2 linked regions of the Drosophila melanogaster genome follow. The protein of the gene in region 1 interacts with the protein of each later gene in a pairwise test. Each region holds a gene or a part of one and is shown on either strand. Other genes may lie near its edges.

Region 1 (8,210 bases):
CTACCAACTGATTCATATGCCCCGCACCCACGCGACCCTCACTTATGCAAATCAGCAGTATCACAGAGCTCACGAAAATTAATTATCACTAAAAATGAGACGAATAGAAAAAGGTAACGTAACCGAGCTGAGGAACAACAACTTAATCGCCTGGCATTTCCGCTCGTCCAATTCCACTCGAAATAGCCAGCTTCCACTTCCCAAAAGCCAACAAGAAATACAGGCAGAACGAAAAGATAACCTGTGCAGGTGGTTATGACCGTGAGGGAGCGTGGGCTGGCCAAGTCGAGTGTATTTCCGCTTGAAAGCGGCAATAACGATATTTGTAATAATAAATTTACGTAAAATATAAAACAAAATCAACGTTGACTCAAGACCCAGTCGCCGCCCACTCAGCGACACCAACGCTTTTTCGAGGCTGCAGACAAAGTTAACAGCCGACAAGGTAGCAACAGTACACACAAAACAGCCAGCTCAGAAGCTTGGCCCGAAGCCCCACGATGCTCACAATTAGCCGAGTCGAGAGAGTTTGTATACAAAAGTCTCTGCTTTCTCACTGCTTTCCCGTGCGATGGCCATAAATGGTCGCAGACACGTCTCACAGACTTCCTTAGCGGGATCGCCGGCCATCCAAGTGGGCCAAGAGGGAAGGGGCTAATAGCTGATGGCTTATAGCGTTTGGGGCCCCCCTTTGATCGAACTTATACTGGGCATCGCGCCTGGCTTTCTGACCATATTAAGGCAAATGCGATTTCCGAAGCTGGCAATTAAAAGCCAAAGCCAAAGCTGAAACTCAGAACATTTGCATAAGCAATTGAGCGACATGGCAGGTGGAGCAGGGGCATTATTCACGCTCAAATTAGATTAAAAGTAATGACAATTAACGCCATAAAATTCTAGTACTTAAGTAGCAATTAGTTAAACTTATATAAATTCAGTCTTTACAAGCATGCATTATGGCAATTATTAGTGTAAAAGTGCGAGAAATTATTTAAAACTGATTATTTTTTAAAATGTATATATTTTATTACCACGTTTTCAGCCCCTTTTGGCCATGCCCATATATTTTTGGACTTGGTCACAAAACAAACATTCAAAAGTGACGTTTGTTTTTTTAATTATGGCTCGCTTATTCATGTTCTTGTCTTTGGGAGTCGTCGTCGTTCGGCAGATTAAGCTGTCAGCAAAGAAACACAACATTTTGGCCACTTTGTATGTATTTTTAAATACGCTCAGTTAATCAAAAATATTCGTACATATATAATTTGATTTTCAGCTCCCTTCGCACGCAAATCAAATTAATGTTGCATGCGTTACTTTTCCACTCTCCTAAAATGTGTGACGACCTTGTGCCATGAAAAATGTATGCTTTCTGGGCATGAAAAAAAAAAGAATCATAATCAAATTTAACTGTTGTCATCATGATTTATTTACTCAAGAACAAAACACGACAAACGATGACGAACTCGCCTTCAGACAGAAGACAGAAGCACAAAGATAAATTAATCGCCAGTCAGTCACAGAGTCGATCGGTCTATTGCCCGAAGTCATTTATTCACAAATGCTCGTATATGAGTATATCGGGGCAAACTCGAGATTTAAGCCGGGTATGTCGTCATAGCTACAATAATGAGAAAACAACTTGTTTTGCCTGCAGGAGCAAATCCATTTTGCAATTATTTGCCTGTTTCAGTTAATTATAATTATTTGCGAAGCAACAAAATGCAAGCAAAAACAAACTATACAAACATGACTCTAAACAATATTCTTTGTTGAAAAATAAAAAAAAATCGGGTTCCAACAACTGAATTGTGACTTTGAAATCAGCTTAGCACTTTGAAATTAGACGCTATGTGAAAACAACTTGAGAAGTGCACACACCCAATACATCTGAACTGAAACTGATCGAAACGAATTAGAATAAATTATAAAATCCAAATATATGGACAGGAGTCAAAAGCGTCGGCTATCAGATACCCATCAAAAATATTTTAATTACAATTTAAATTGCTGAAAATTACTGAACACCACGTTTCGAAGAATTGTTATTATATATATTTATATTATCTTACAGGAAATACTTTAAATACTTGTCATGAATTAAAGTTAAAACAACAAAATTCCACCATCCATTCTTAAAACACTTAAATGACAAACAAATGAGGAGATTTCCTTGAACTTTACTTCGACGTGCCTCATAATTCGCCACGAAATCCAAGTTGATCCAAATAAATACCAAGAATGAGTATCATTTATGGTCTGGCAACCAAAGTTCAACCTTAAAAATGGAGATCCGACACAAGTCAAGCTTTGGTAGCTGATACCATCTCAATCAAAGGCGAATAAACATTTTTAACTATTTTCAAGTGAGCTCAAGCAATGTCTGACTTGTACAAATGAATGTCAAGCGCTGCTGCAGCAGCAAATAAAATTAGCAATAAATTTAAATAAATAACTGCCTGGCGATATTAGATCATACGAAATCTCAGGGGGCCGTCTACGCGTACTCGTGGTAGCACTCAAAACACTCGAAACGAAACCGAAAATCCATCCGAATCGGAAATCACTCAAGAGAGTGCGCCAAAGACCAACTGGGACCGTACTATGCGATACAGTACGATACGATACGATCCGATACGATACGATCCCATCCGATCCGGCCAACGCAAAAAGCACCCACACATCGGGTGGATGTGGATATTTGGGGAAAGAGAGAACTGGTTTCTCTTCAATGACTTTGTGCTGAGCTGTGCTGTGTTGTGTTGTGTTGTGCGCTGGGCTGTTTTGTGTTGGCGTTGGCGAGCGCCAGTGGGTTTCTCGGTTTATTGGTCGTCGCTGAGAAAACGAGACTGTGCTGCCTTTTAATGCGGCATTTCATTCATTGATCGTTCCAATAGCGCGCCGCACGCTCAGCGCAGCGGACAAGTGAGCCAAAAGTCCGACTTCCACTGCCATCGCCGCCCACCTGAGCCGCTAACCTGGCTAACGGAGTCAAAGCCAACTGGGGGCAGTAGTCAGCTGATTTAGCTGCCACCGCATCCCAAGCCAAACCAAGTCAGACCATCCCAGCGATCCGCGAGATATATCTATTCAGTGCACAGCCGACAAGCGCAGCAGGCGGACGCAGCGCAGCATTTTCTCCGTGTATTTTCGTATGCCATCTCGGGATATTGGATACAGATACAGATTCCGAGATACAGATACACAGAACGCGAGCGACGCGCACTCATAGATATTTTTAGCAACCGGCCTCACGCACACCGCCGCACACATTAGTACCGCCGCACTGACACACGCGGCTTGCACGTTTTCACGGAAAATCCATTCTTCGAGGCTTTTCCAGCAGGCCCAAGATAAACACAACTCAAGAATGCGCGAAAACCGTACCGAAGTTATTATCAATAGTTAAACCAGCGGCGCAATCACAACCGCAACAACCACAACCACCGCAATATTAATTCAAACCAAAACAAGTTCCAGAAGTTTTTGAGGAAATAAAAACTGAAAACAAACCTTTTTTGTTGTGTTAACATGCCAAATTTATGCATGAGCTAATAACTTTAAATCCGAAAAGAATAAAAAAAAGTCCAAACAAAACAAAATTCAAACAAAGATCGCATATCAAAATTAGTTGGGTGACTAATTAGACAGCGCGTTGTCGGAATTTCAATTTGCATACTTTGGCGCAACTTTAATGAACCAAAAATTAAAATAAAAACATCAACAAATCTTAATCAGAGTGCACAACTGAATTCAAATCATCCTGAAAGACCAATCCCGCAGCCATACATTGTTGGATTTATGAAATCAAAAAGGTAAATATACCGCCGCCATTTATCAGACATAAGCGTTCAGATATAGAAAAGATATAGAAGATCTGCCCGATCTCTTGTTGCCGCCCCAATAAAAATAGACAAAAGGCATTCCTCTGTCCAATCACGTTAGTGGCTGGCAGATGGGGCAGGGCGGGCTTTTAAGAAACTTCTGAAACATTTATTTGTCCAAGGTGTTGAAAAGCCAGATGTGTGCAGGGGAAAATGTTTTCGAGCTGCTCAGCAGGGAAAACGGCGACGACAGCCAGTTGTCAACTGATTTTCAAAGGTTACCGAAGGGAAGCAGCAACTTGGCTGCGTTTGTTTGCGACCAAAGTAGGGGGAACAGTTTAATTAATGTGCAAACAAAAGCTGTGAATTCTCATCATCAATGAGAGTCCCGCTTAACCTGCCACTCACTTTAAATCTGTGATGTGCTAATCAACGCCGGCATTTATTTATTTACTTTCATTTTCGCCATACCATTCGGCAACAAGCACTATGTTTGCCCAAATAATCGAGTAAAATTGGTTTCTGGCAGCCAGTCAATCGCCGATTTTAATTTGGCATTTATTTATTTAATATATTAATATATTATTCATTTTGTCGAAAGCTAAAATAAACTAGCATCTCATGGGCTGACTCAATACATGATTAAAAAATGTTATTCGTCATAAATATTTTATGATTTACAAAAAAAAAATTCGCCAAAAATACACGCATTAATCGAGTCAAATTTTAATGATTTTTCTGCCATGGAAAGGTGCATCTAAAATTAAATTAGTTTATGGACACATGAGTCTATTGCTACCCTATATATACTTGCCTACCTCATTGTTTGCTGTCCCCCTGACCCAAATCTCGATCGTATGTGGGAAAAGCCAGCGCCCCTCCTTGCAAAGAGACTTAAACAATAACAATAGCAGGAATAAATCAAGAAAAATAAAAGTTAGTCGTAGGCAAATGCCAGAGACCTGTCAAAAAATCAAGCAAATCAAAAGCCGATGGGTAATACAAAACCACACAGAAAGCTATCAAAATATAACTCATACGTATTCGTATTTATCCACACGGTGGTGGAAGGGAGACGGTGAATGTAAACACGGCCACATCACACATACGCAGTGTGTGCCAATTTTAATAAACAAACTCAACGTAAATGGAAAATCAAACAAAATCATTTGGCCAAAGCAATGGCAACAAATCAACAGAAGAAAAAACAAAACGAAATAAAAGGAAAGAAGCGTAAAAAAATCAAAAGACGGCAAAAAAAGAGATGGGTAAAATAACAAATAAGAACTTGCCGCAGGCCGGCTAAAAATAATAGCTGCCAACGGTAGCACACACGAGACTAGCATCAGGGGGACGTGCAACGTGCAACTGGCAACAGCCAACAGCACGAGACAACAGCAACCACACACACACACACACGCGCAACTAGCTAGGCGAGCAACAACAAAGGTTATAGACTATAGGTGACTATGTATATAGTATCGGCAACAAAGTCGAAGCCGAATGAAAGATTTTGACGCTTTCCACAAAAAGCAAATTAAGAATCACAAATCGAGGCAGATAAAAAATAGATAGAGCGCTACGAAAATAAGAAAACGAAAATAGTGAAGGAAGAAAATTCAAGTTGCATACAATGAAAACTAATTTTAGAGCTGTGGAAAAGACAACAACAACAAAACGAATCAAAAACACGGCAGGCACAGAGACAATCTGAATCAGTCGGAGATTCCATAGCGAATCGGTCCAGAGGGCAGCTCTTGAAGTTACGAAAGACAAAGCAACTTTGGATTTCATTCAAAAGCAATAATTAAAGTTGAAAGTTTAGTTCTTGATGATGATTTTACTACTTTAGTTACTTTTTCAATTGAAGGATTACTAATATTTATAAATCAAAGTTTAGATCCGTTTACCATGCTAACTTTATCTTGTCAAGAGAAAACATTGTTCAAACTAAGTCATCTACCCTCGTTATAGCAATGCCTCATGTGGTTCAGTTGCTTTTTTTTCCGTGCCCAAGCAGCAGACGCTTCATTTTCCATTTAACCGCACCCGACTGCCGAAATCCTTGAATTCAACAATTCCTCCTGCCCCGATTTTCCCCCCGGAAAACCCATGGGCGCGCAGACAAGCGTGCAGAAAAAGTTCTAAATTTAATGGCTACACCTAAAAATGCAGCGACTGCAACCGAACCAAAAGTGAAGGGCAGACTGCAGAGGGAGGAGGAGCCACTCGCCGGTAGTTTCAAGTGCACTTCGGCTAGGCCTGGCTAACTTCCCCGTCCCCATTCCCATTCCATCTGATTTTCCCCAAAAAAAAAAAAGTATTTTATATATCTGTGGAACGGGCCGACCCACCCACACGCCCCTGCCCCGCCCCTCGACCCCTTCACGCCTCGTCGCACGCACGGCTCGCCTTTTGTCTACCAAACTGTTGGTAAAAGAGAATGGGATCAGGAAAAGGGGTGCACTGAAACAAAATTCTTCAACTGCAAATAATTGTAAGGAAAAAAACTTTAAGAATTTTTTGTTGTCAAAAAGCTCAACATTTTATTTGAATATGAGATCTTATAAATATATCATATAACAAAAACACAACTTAGTTTGATAAGCTGAAATGTTATAAGCAGTAATCAAACATAACAGCTTTATTGTATTTGATTGAACGTATTTCTTTCACATTCCTCCGATTTTTCTCAGTGTCAAAATGAAATGTTGGGCTTTTGTGTAAGAGGAACTGTTCTATGTTTGTTGTCTGTGCATTTCAATTGGGCGCTTTCTGCATTGTGCCGGCGTGTAATTGAAAACTTAAGCAGAGGCACCACCCCGCCCTCCTTCCCCCCCCCCCACCGCTCACTTTGTCCACGAAAAGCGCGCAACAAATTTTCCAATCAACAGAGAACGAAACAGGCCCTATGCACTATAAACTGCGCCCCGCTAACTTCCTGCTCCACTTCCTTGCAGCATATCCTGTATCCCTCCGGTTGCGACTCCGAAAATCAGGAGGCCGCTTGTTGCTGTTTGTTCAACAAACGTTTATTAGCCGCGAATACTTTTAATCGCATGCAATTTGTTGATTGCGGACAGTCGTTGCACTTTCCACGCTTTTCCACCCACCCAGCGAAAAGGCCCACTTTAAGCACACGGAACTAGGTAATTTTCACGTCGTTTTGGACCGGAGGGCGGGAAAATGGGAAAATTGGGCGGAGGGGAGCGAGGGGAGTGAGCAGGTGAACAACGTTTGCCGCCCCTCTTTGAAGACGGTGCACAAATTTTTCTGTGTTGCGCGCTTAATTGCAGCTTGTTTGTTGCATGTCGCAAACTTTTCACGATGCCCTTACAACTCAAGTGGGTTCCACTGACTTGGGGGCGGGTCTTTTAAAGAATGACATTCGTTTCGTACCATGCTTTAAAAATAATGTATTAACGAAATTTATATGTATATAGATATGTAGAGTAGAGGATAGATACTAAGCATATTCTAAAAGCATTTAAAACTTTTTGAAAGGGCATGCAATCCATGCGGATCTTTTCCAACTTAAAAACTTCTTTCTGCTGGGTCTTTAAGCATTTCTTAGGATTGCGTGGTAAAAATTAATTATACCTCGAAACAGGGGCGAAACGCCAAAAGAAAATGCCGGCACGAAGTGAAGAACCTAGCCACGTGTTGAAAGTTGAGGCAGGGAAAGGTGATTTGAATGGAGATTTGCTGGGATTTCAAGATGAGCTGTGCTGAATCTCTTGGCATGCATTCTCTCTGGTTTTTTTTTTTTTTTTTTTTATTGCTGCCAGACAAACAAACATTAACGGTAATCGAAGAAAAGTGCTCACTTAAGGAGAAACACCTCATAACTCGTTTAGGCCAAGCCAAGAGCGAGCTCTGGGAATGGTCAAAGCTATGCAACAAGTGTCAAGCAGGCCAACAACGAGCCAACATGCTGGCAATCCAAGCCAATGCGAGCCGGATTGAATCGGGCAAGGTGGCCAGAATCGTCTAGTGCCAATTTTGGACAATCTGCACTAAATTGTCCATTTAAGTGGGCCCGGCTAAACCGACTAACTCGACGTTAGCTGCTCCCCTTAGATCAACTGACTGCAATCAATCTGGCTGCATTTACACCTCTGCATTCAGACTGGCAAACTGGAAGGTTGGAAGGCTGGTTAGCTGACTAGCTGGCTAGCTGGCAAAATGGCAAACTGGCGATTTATGAGGCCAAGGCACGTTACGTGCAAGGGCGTTAGCATCGATGCAGAAACATTTCTATCTCCATACACATTCGCACAGACCATGTGTATCTGCAACTGTTTGGGAGGTGGAAATGACGGCGTTGCATTGCGTTGCGTTGGCTTCATGTTACATTTTCATGTAACTTAATTCTTGCATTAAAAT
Region 2 (9,035 bases), on another chromosome or scaffold:
CACAGAATGCTCACGGACGCTTCACGCACTTTCAATTTTTGTGTGTGCCTTCGCCAAGGGGGAGGGGGGTGGGGGAGAGTCATTGAACGGGGATCTCTCGATGCCTCATTGTTCACAGCCATCCGGAGACAATTGTGACCATAATGGAGAGCGGCTGGTTCCTTGAAGCCGCTTAATTACAGCGCTCAAATGAGTTGACACATTTTTTCGTTGGGCTGCGCGGGAAGCGGCGAATTTCATAGAAAAGCCTTTTGGGGCAACCTTCGGTTCTGGGTTATTATTATCAATTAAGACCCATTTTCGGTGACCCAAAGCGTATTTTGTTCCTGGTTGGCAACCTTTGATGGTAACCAACTCATTCATGGTAAATAAATGAAAAAAAAAGTAAATAAAGGTAGATGCCTGTAATTAGTAATCCGATTTGGCAATTTCCAAGCCTCTGTTCCGAAGTGCAAAACTATGTGAAACTGTGCCAATGTCTGCAAGTGTGGACACCAAATAAACACCAAATGGAGCAATAATAAATTTTCTAAAAGACCAAAATAAACAAAAAAAAAAAAAACTGAAAATCATGCGCCCAATGAAGCAAACGCCACTGACACACAAAAGCCACCAAGTCGAAATATAAATATATATATTTATATACGTATGTATAGTGGCGGATATTGAGGTGTTGACAAGACACCTGTATTTTCGTGGGAGGTGGAGAAATAGTTGGCTTTAGGGACAACTTGACAGCAAATTTGGCGCTCCATTGGCGTGCGCATGTCGCCAAGAAAAAAAAAAAAAAAACACGGCCAAGTGCGTTGTGCTCCGACAGAGGGCGCTGCAAGGTGGCAAACGGACAATTGAAAAGTTAATTGAACGGCACTTAAAACGCAATTAATTACCAAATCGCTGACACGCTGAGTAGGCCTACAAGGAAGCGCTGAACTTGACAACGAAAATGGAGAGCGGAAAGCCAAAAAACGAAACTGAAACTGAAACCGAAACCGAAACTCAATCGGATAGCAGTATCGAAACCGTGGACAAAAAGACAAATTACCCGAAACCAGTTTTGGCCCAAGACAATTGTCAAATTGTCAACCAAGATGCCGAGACACTTTTGTACTTGTTACCGGTTTGCTCTTCGGATTTTTTTTTTTCTTTTTATTTTTTTTTTTTTGTCTTTTCTTGAGGGCGCCACTTCTTTTTTGGGGCGGCTAATTCTGACGCCCCATATAAAGTGGTGCGCGTCGGGAGTGGTCGACATCATTAAGTCGACGTCTCTGCCAGAGTCGGACGGATATATACAGTCGTCAGTCTGAAAGTCATCGCAACCTGTGCGGCACGTGCCACTTCATCCTCGAGCAAACCGAGTAGTCCAGTGCAAAGGAAGTGATTCCACAATGGCAGGCAAAGTGAGTTTAATAAAGTGGAACTCTAAGCAGCTCGATTTAAAAGGCATTTCAATGGCGTACAAAATGGCCAACTTTCAAGGCAATTGCTAAACTCGTGTGTTACTATATCCTTTCTCGAAAAAAAAAATATCCAGCCAACTTGTATTTTTCTATAAATCCGCAAAAATTCCATATCGATTAAATGTTTAAATTCGGTGTTGGCCAAAAAATAGGAAGCAAATTCAATTTCAGTGCAACTGAATTCATAACTTGTGATTTGCATAATCACGAAAATAAAACCAATCCAATTGGCATTGCTTCGATTTTAAATTAATATTGGATTTGAAAAATTGTATAATGCAATTGGATTTTTGTATTGCATTTGCACGTATGAAAACATAGTTTTTGGCTAAAATATAAAGTAGCGCACTTCTTTTAGCAAAATTAACTTAAATTATTAACAAAATGAAGTGAATGAAAAATGTTGAAATAATTTAAACCCTTTTTCCGTGCAGCTCCTGACTGTTTTCTCCCTTCTGGCCATCGCCGCATCCTGTCGCGCAGGATTCGCCGCCACCTATGCCGGCTATCATCCCGCCTATGCCACCTACCAGGCACCGGCTGCCGTCTACCATGCGGCACCAGTGGCCCAGGCTGCTGTCTACCAGCAGGCGGCTCCAGTTTACGCCAAGACCTTTGTGCCAGCTGCTCCTGTATACACCAGATCCTATGCCCTGCCCACTCCAGTTGTCAAGGCGGTGGCTCCTGCTCCTCTCGCTCTGCCCGTTGCTGCGCCGGTGGTGAAGACCCTGGCTGCTGCTCCCGTGGTCGCTGCTCCAGTGGTCAAGACTGTGGCTGCTGCTCCCGCTGTACTGAAACAGGTAGAGTTGGAATCTTCGCCGCGCTACGACTTCTCCTACGGCGTTCACGACAGCATCACCGGCGATATCAAAAGCCAGGTGGAGACCCGTGACGGTGGCAATGTTGTGGGATCCTATTCCGTCCTGGATGCCGATGGTTTCAAGCGCACAGTGACCTACACCGCCGACGACATCAACGGATTCAATGCGGTGGTCCAGCGGGAACCGGTTGTCGCTGCCCGCGCAGTTGCTGCTCCAGTGGTTTCCGTCTCCGCTCCAGCTCCAGTTCCCGTCCATATTTCCTCCGCTCCCGTTGCCTCGCTGCCCGCTCCCATCTACTATCCACACCAGCAGGTGTTCGCCCCACAGCAGATTCAACAGGTTGCCGAGCAGCAGGGTGAGGTGGTGGAGTCTCCTGTGGCCCAACAGCCCGAGCTGGAACCCACTCCCATTGACTACAACGAGGGTCAGCAGCAGCAGCAGGAGCAGCAGCAGCAAACCTATCCCCAGGATCAGCAGTTCCCACCCTACTCGCCAGCTGGTCAATCCTCCCCAGCTCCTGACAGCGATGATTCCGACGTGGTGGAGGCACGATCTGCCCCGGAGGCCAGCAGCACCACCACCACCGCTGCTCCAGTTACGGAGGAGAACAAGAAGACGGCCTAGATTGGATTATGAACGGAAATATTGTTGAAATTAATAAGGAAATGAATAAAATACTTCGAGAATACATAAAAAATTGTCTACTAATTCAAATTAAATGTAGTTTAGTTACATTTATAAGCTGATAATTCAAAAGCTTAAATGCGGCGATTTTAATAATTAATTTACCACATTAATTTAGCGGATTACTTCTCAAAGAATCGAAAAACAAACAATTGAAAAAGGGACTAAATCGATTGGCAGCAATCATCTCTAAAAAAAATTTTGTTTATTTCTGACAACCGCATATAAACAAAATGAAAAGAGCATTAACCGGAAATATCTGCGCATTTATTGCATTATTACTGATAATCGAGAGATTAAATGGTATTAGTGCAATGATAACATATTTGCAAGCAAAAAAAAAGAGACAATCAAATTTTATATTTAAAGGTAGACAGATAAAATCAGTACCTTTTATTATCCAATTAAATATTGATTTAGGTGGCTATTTTTTGTCTTATTAAATATGGATAGAGCTTTACATTTTAACACATATTCGTTGAATAAATTAACAACAAAGATTGAACATAAATATTTATGGAAATTGTAATTGAAGCTTTTAAACGTATAGCCTTAATATTAAACATTATTAATATTATATTATTTTAAGATGAAGGTTTTCCTTACAAAAGTAAAGACGAGAAAGTAAAACATAAACATTTGTCATAAACATTTAAATGAGCCCGCGTGGTGTGCAGATTCAGCCGACTTCTATTCAGCTGTTGGCTGAATTTGGCTTGCATGCGCACACGTTCCACGTTCCACAACAACATATTGAAATCCAAAAGCTGCTTCACCACTTGGCAAGCGATCGTTAACAAGTTACACCAGAAATTTATATATACTAAAAAAATAATAAGTTACTTAAAAATTTAGTAATAATTATGTGGATATAAAAAATGTACATTATTTTTCTCTACGCGCCGTTGTCCGAAGTTAACAGCAAGATAACATGCGATATTAGGCACCTACGTTCACACTGGCATCAAATTTCGATAACTGACAAAGATCGATAGCCATCTGCGTTTCGTTCGCCACTAAGGCTTGCTTTTCAAATCAAACGGTAAATTCTGGCGGCGCCAAGCAGGCATTGACTCCAATTTCGCATCGATTACGAGAGTACTGTCTACGTTTGTCTACAGTTTCACCGACACATTCAGCGTGCTAACACGCTCGACAAATTCTCGTGCTCGCGTTTCGTTAGGGAACGATAAAAATTGTGTAAAAATTCAGTAAAGTGAATTTCCATTCGAAAAAGCCAGCACACGCATTCAAAAGGGCAAAGGTACAAAGGTAAGTGCGTGTGTACTCTTTTCTTCCTTTTCGCGGTTTTTCCCACTGCTTTTTACTAGCGTTCATCAATTTGACCGCCTCTTCGTGATCTCCTCTTCTCGTTCCCCTCTTTCCGCGAATCGGCAAATGGCGGCTGCTGCAGCTGTTGCCAACCAAAGGCGTAGTTCTTAACTCGCGGGGGCTTGAGCGATTGGGTGCCCCGTTAAAAATAATCTTGTAAATTAGTTGGCTTATGTTGGCTAACACATAGGAATAACATATCGAGTTGCTGGCCACAAAGAAAACCCCTTTTTTGAACTCATGGTTACGCCCCTGTTGCACGCCGAAAGGAATATAAAAGACAGAGATAAAAAAAAAGAACCCAAGCAGCCCTTGATTCTGCTTCTTCCTGACATTGACTCACATTTTCCTTTTCAGTTTCACACATTTCATCGCAGCAGCAAACATCTAAACTTTTAAAGAAAAAACACAAAACTCAAAAAAAAAAAAAAAATGAGTAAGGCGGATTCTAACTCACGACAGGGCTCCTACAAGGCCAACAGCATTAACACGCAGGTAATGTACACAAGATCCTCCGCAGAACTGCGTTCGGAACTAACCTCACTTTTTGCCCTAGGACTCACGCATGCGCCGCCATGAGGTGACCATCGAGCTGCGCAAGTCCAAAAAGGAGGACCAGATGTTCAAGCGGCGCAACATCAACGACGAGGATCTAACGTCGCCGCTCAAAGAGCTCAATGGCCAGTCGCCGGTGCAGCTGTCCGTGGACGAGATAGTGGCGGCCATGAACAGCGAGGATCAGGAGCGCCAGTTTCTGGGCATGCAGTCTGCCCGCAAGATGCTCAGTCGGGAGCGCAATCCACCCATCGACCTGATGATCGGCCATGGTATTGTGCCCATTTGCATACGCTTCCTGCAGAATACCAACAAGTGAGTAGTGGCTTTAGAATGTTGATGAGAGCATTATTGAATATCCCCTGATTCGCCGCTACAGCTCAATGCTGCAGTTCGAGGCCGCTTGGGCGCTTACCAACATCGCCTCTGGCACATCCGACCAAACGCGCTGCGTTATCGAACACAATGCTGTGCCGCATTTCGTGGCTCTGCTCCAGTCCAAGTCCATGAACCTGGCCGAGCAGGCAGTCTGGGCTCTGGGCAACATTGCCGGCGACGGAGCCGCCGCCCGCGACATTGTCATCCACCACAACGTAATTGACGGAATCTTGCCACTGATCAACAATGAGACACCGCTCTCTTTTCTGCGCAACATCGTCTGGCTGATGTCCAACCTGTGCCGGAACAAGAATCCATCGCCGCCATTCGATCAGGTGAAGCGGCTGTTGCCCGTCCTGTCGCAGCTTCTGCTTAGTCAGGACATCCAAGTGCTGGCCGACGCCTGCTGGGCTTTGTCCTACGTCACGGACGACGATAACACCAAGATCCAGGCTGTGGTCGACTCGGACGCAGTGCCGCGCCTGGTCAAACTGCTGCAAATGGACGAGCCGAGCATTATTGTGCCCGCCCTGCGCAGCGTTGGCAACATTGTGACTGGCACAGATCAACAGGTAGGAAAACAAATGATTTTAATCCTTATTGTTATAACATGCCTGACCGACCTGTTTTTTTTTTTTTTTTTTATTAGACTGACGTTGTAATTGCATCTGGAGGTTTACCAAGGCTGGGACTCCTTCTACAGCACAACAAAAGCAACATTGTGAAGGAGGCTGCCTGGACGGTCAGCAACATCACAGCAGGTAACCAGAAGCAGATCCAGGCTGTGATTCAGGCCGGCATCTTCCAGCAGCTGCGCACCGTGCTGGAGAAGGGTGATTTCAAGGCTCAAAAAGAGGCTGCCTGGGCGGTGACAAACACCACGACATCTGGCACTCCCGAACAGATCGTCGATCTAATTGAGAAGTACAAAATATTGAAGCCTTTTATCGATTTGCTGGACACAAAGGATCCGCGTACCATCAAGGTGGTGCAGACGGGCCTATCCAATCTGTTTGCCCTGGCGGAGAAACTTGGTGGCACCGAGAACCTATGCTTGATGGTCGAGGAGATGGGCGGTCTAGACAAGCTGGAAACTCTGCAGCAGCACGAGAACGAGGAGGTCTACAAGAAGGCCTACGCCATCATTGACACATACTTCAGCAACGGCGACGACGAGGCCGAGCAAGAGCTCGCACCTCAGGAGGTCAACGGAGCCCTCGAGTTCAATGCCACCCAGCCCAAGGCTCCCGAAGGTGGCTACACGTTCTAATCGCCCACCCCACACATTCCAAACTCCGCTCACACGCCTTACAAACAACTACACCTTCGACCGCGCTCACACACTATGCCATTGTCAAACATACGCATACTCATCATCACATCTTACAAACATTCCCAAACACTTTGGAGGTATGCATGGAAACACAGGCGAATGCATTAGCTTAAAGTCATAATTGAATCGGGTTGGCAAAATCCACTCGCATGAATCCCCATTTAACATACCCGTATTCCTCGCGTTAGACTAGACTTCACAGATTGCAGCATGGATCTTTCTGGCAGTGTTCCTCGTTCACGATGCAACCGCTCGGGCAGCTGCGCTGGCTGGGATCCGTGGATCATAGTATTTCCAGAATCCGTCTGTACAGGGGGCACCTTATGTTTGCGTGTACTAGGCTTTTTATTGGATACGTTTCGAGCTCATTTCGGATATATTTTAGGCTGTTTAGTATTTATTTATGTATACAGGAAACGCTTTTAATCCTCCACCTTCGCGCAAGCATTACAACAACAACAACAACAACAACAACTCATTCCCTTCACACCAGTGTCCTCATTCCCGAATCGCATGTTTATATTCAAAGTTGTCAATAAATAATGAATTGTTTGAATGATTAATTAAATTTCATGTGTATTTAAGCTGCATTTGAGCATTGCGAAAATTGGAGCCTATTTTTGGGCCTTGGCATTTTTTTTTGTATATTATTTGGAATGCTATTGGGATATACACCGATGCAGGCAATCGAATTTAAAATGTTATCCCTTCGATGCGCTGGCGCCTTTTGTCCGTAAATCCGCGATAAAAAGTCATGCAGTCAATACATGTTTTTTTTTTTGTCTTGTACATTTAAATCGCATTTGGGCCGTAAGCGGATAGCCGGAAGATTAAGAGCTATCTACCGCAGCCACGCCCACTCGAGCAGCGGTGGACAGCGACCCCAAAAAAGTTCCAGATTAGATATAATGATTAAACAACCGACGAGTGAGTAGTGAGTAGTAGTCTACTACTGGCACAGAACGCGCACCACGCACAACTCAATCAAGATGAATCGCAGCGTTCGTGGTTATTGCAGTGATCCAGAGGGTAAGCTTAATCAGTGGAGCGACGACGTCACATCAACAACCATGTCCACGTACGATCTTGTTCCCATCGGATGCAGTGCGTCGAATTCGGCGAATCGTGTGTGTGTGTGGCAAAACAAATTATAAAAATAGATTAAAAATTCAGCATGGGCAAAGTAGTTGCCGAAAATTCGAACTGAATTGTGGAAGCATTGGCCGCCATCCGGAGCTTTTGCCTCCGCGTTGCCCAAATTGTCGTCACCGATGGATCGGATCTATGTATTCAATTGGTTCTTTCTCGAGCTATTTTATTATTTCCGAGCGCAAGCGTTTAGTCGACTTTCTGCCGAAGCTGCGTGCGGGCGTGAATCTCTAAGGGCAACTAATTTATATAATTGCAAAACGATCTGAACTGACATTACGCATTTGAAACTTAAAAATTTCTAACGATTTTTAAAAAAGGTAATAGAGAATAGTGCAAGTGATGTGAAACCAATCGGTAGTTTCGTAAATTGCCTTGTGTGTAAATCAATTCGCATTTTCACTGAATGTGTGTCGAAATTTTCACAACTATTGTTGTTGATGATGCCACTTCGAAAACAATTTTCTGATCTCATATGCCTCACTGAGAATCCAGTTGGGGATACACCATATGCCACTTGGTGCATTTAAACGTTTACAAAATACAAGAAAAAAAGTGTGAAAAAAATCGAAAGCACTTTTGACAAACTCATGATGCAGTTAATTTCGTTGAATAAAACAAAAAATTGGCACACCAAAAATAAACAATAAACATCTAGCACTAGAACAGCGCTACTTTATAGCGACTACTACATAGCGTACACAGCAAGAAATTTGTACTCATTATAAAATGTTTAATTTTAATCATTGGGAAAACATTTAATTTTGCTGTGAATTGATAGAATAGTATATTACCTATACTAAATCTATTCAAAATGCATTTTAAAGTTGTTCATGTGATAAAATTGTGAAAACTGAAAGAGTATGAGTGACATGATTTTCTGATAGATTTTTCTTGCAGTGTGGGCAGCGTGGCTCTCGCGATTTTGAAGCGGAAAACGGTCTTTTTTTCCGTTTCGGTCCGTTTTTATTTTCCGATTGGGGTGGGTGGGCGCGTATTTTGTTTGTTGATGTGGCAATTAAGCGCGCAAGTGTGCGCGTCGCGTAGAAATCGGCGTGCAGAGCTGCAGCTTCGAATCGACAAACTATATAGTACATATATAGCGAGTGGGCATTGAAGTGGGCGTGGGCGTGGGCGTGGTAGGCGGTGGGATTGGGTTTGTTTGCCATAGAACGGCGGCGGCTGCCGAAATTCGCGTGAAATTAAAAGTTGCCGCAAATATATAGCCACAGCACTGTCACAAAGTTTTCCGCCTCGGCGTTTCCGCTTTGTTTACTTGCCGAAAATAGTGTCAAGTTTGGCCTAGTGTGTTCAGTTGACTTT

Evidence for each region.
Region 2: the proteins of tx (region 1) and Pen interact in a two-hybrid assay, tested with the Drosophila melanogaster proteins (one large-scale study listed by BioGRID).

The regions. Positions count from the first base shown.
Region 1 is NT_033777.3:26,437,922-26,446,131, forward strand, and holds the start of tx (taxi), read left to right. Parts: upstream 1-2,856; 5' UTR 2,857-3,815; intron 3,816-8,210. UniProt on the Drosophila melanogaster protein: Probably plays an important role in the differentiation of epidermal cells into the tendon cells that form the attachment sites for all muscles.
Region 2 is NT_033779.5:10,052,968-10,062,002, forward strand, and holds Pen (pendulin), read left to right. Parts: upstream 1-3,932; 5' UTR 3,933-4,237; intron 4,238-4,654; 5' UTR 4,655-4,729; coding exon 4,730-4,792; intron 4,793-4,853; coding exon 4,854-5,167; intron 5,168-5,231; coding exon 5,232-5,802; intron 5,803-5,879; coding exon 5,880-6,500; 3' UTR 6,501-7,128; downstream 7,129-9,035. Other genes in the region: Cpr31A (cuticular protein 31A), read left to right, coding at 1,389-1,400, 1,895-2,905. UniProt on the Drosophila melanogaster protein: Binds specifically and directly to substrates containing either a simple or bipartite NLS motif. Promotes docking of import substrates to the nuclear envelope. Seems to act as a cytosolic receptor for both simple and bipartite NLS motifs.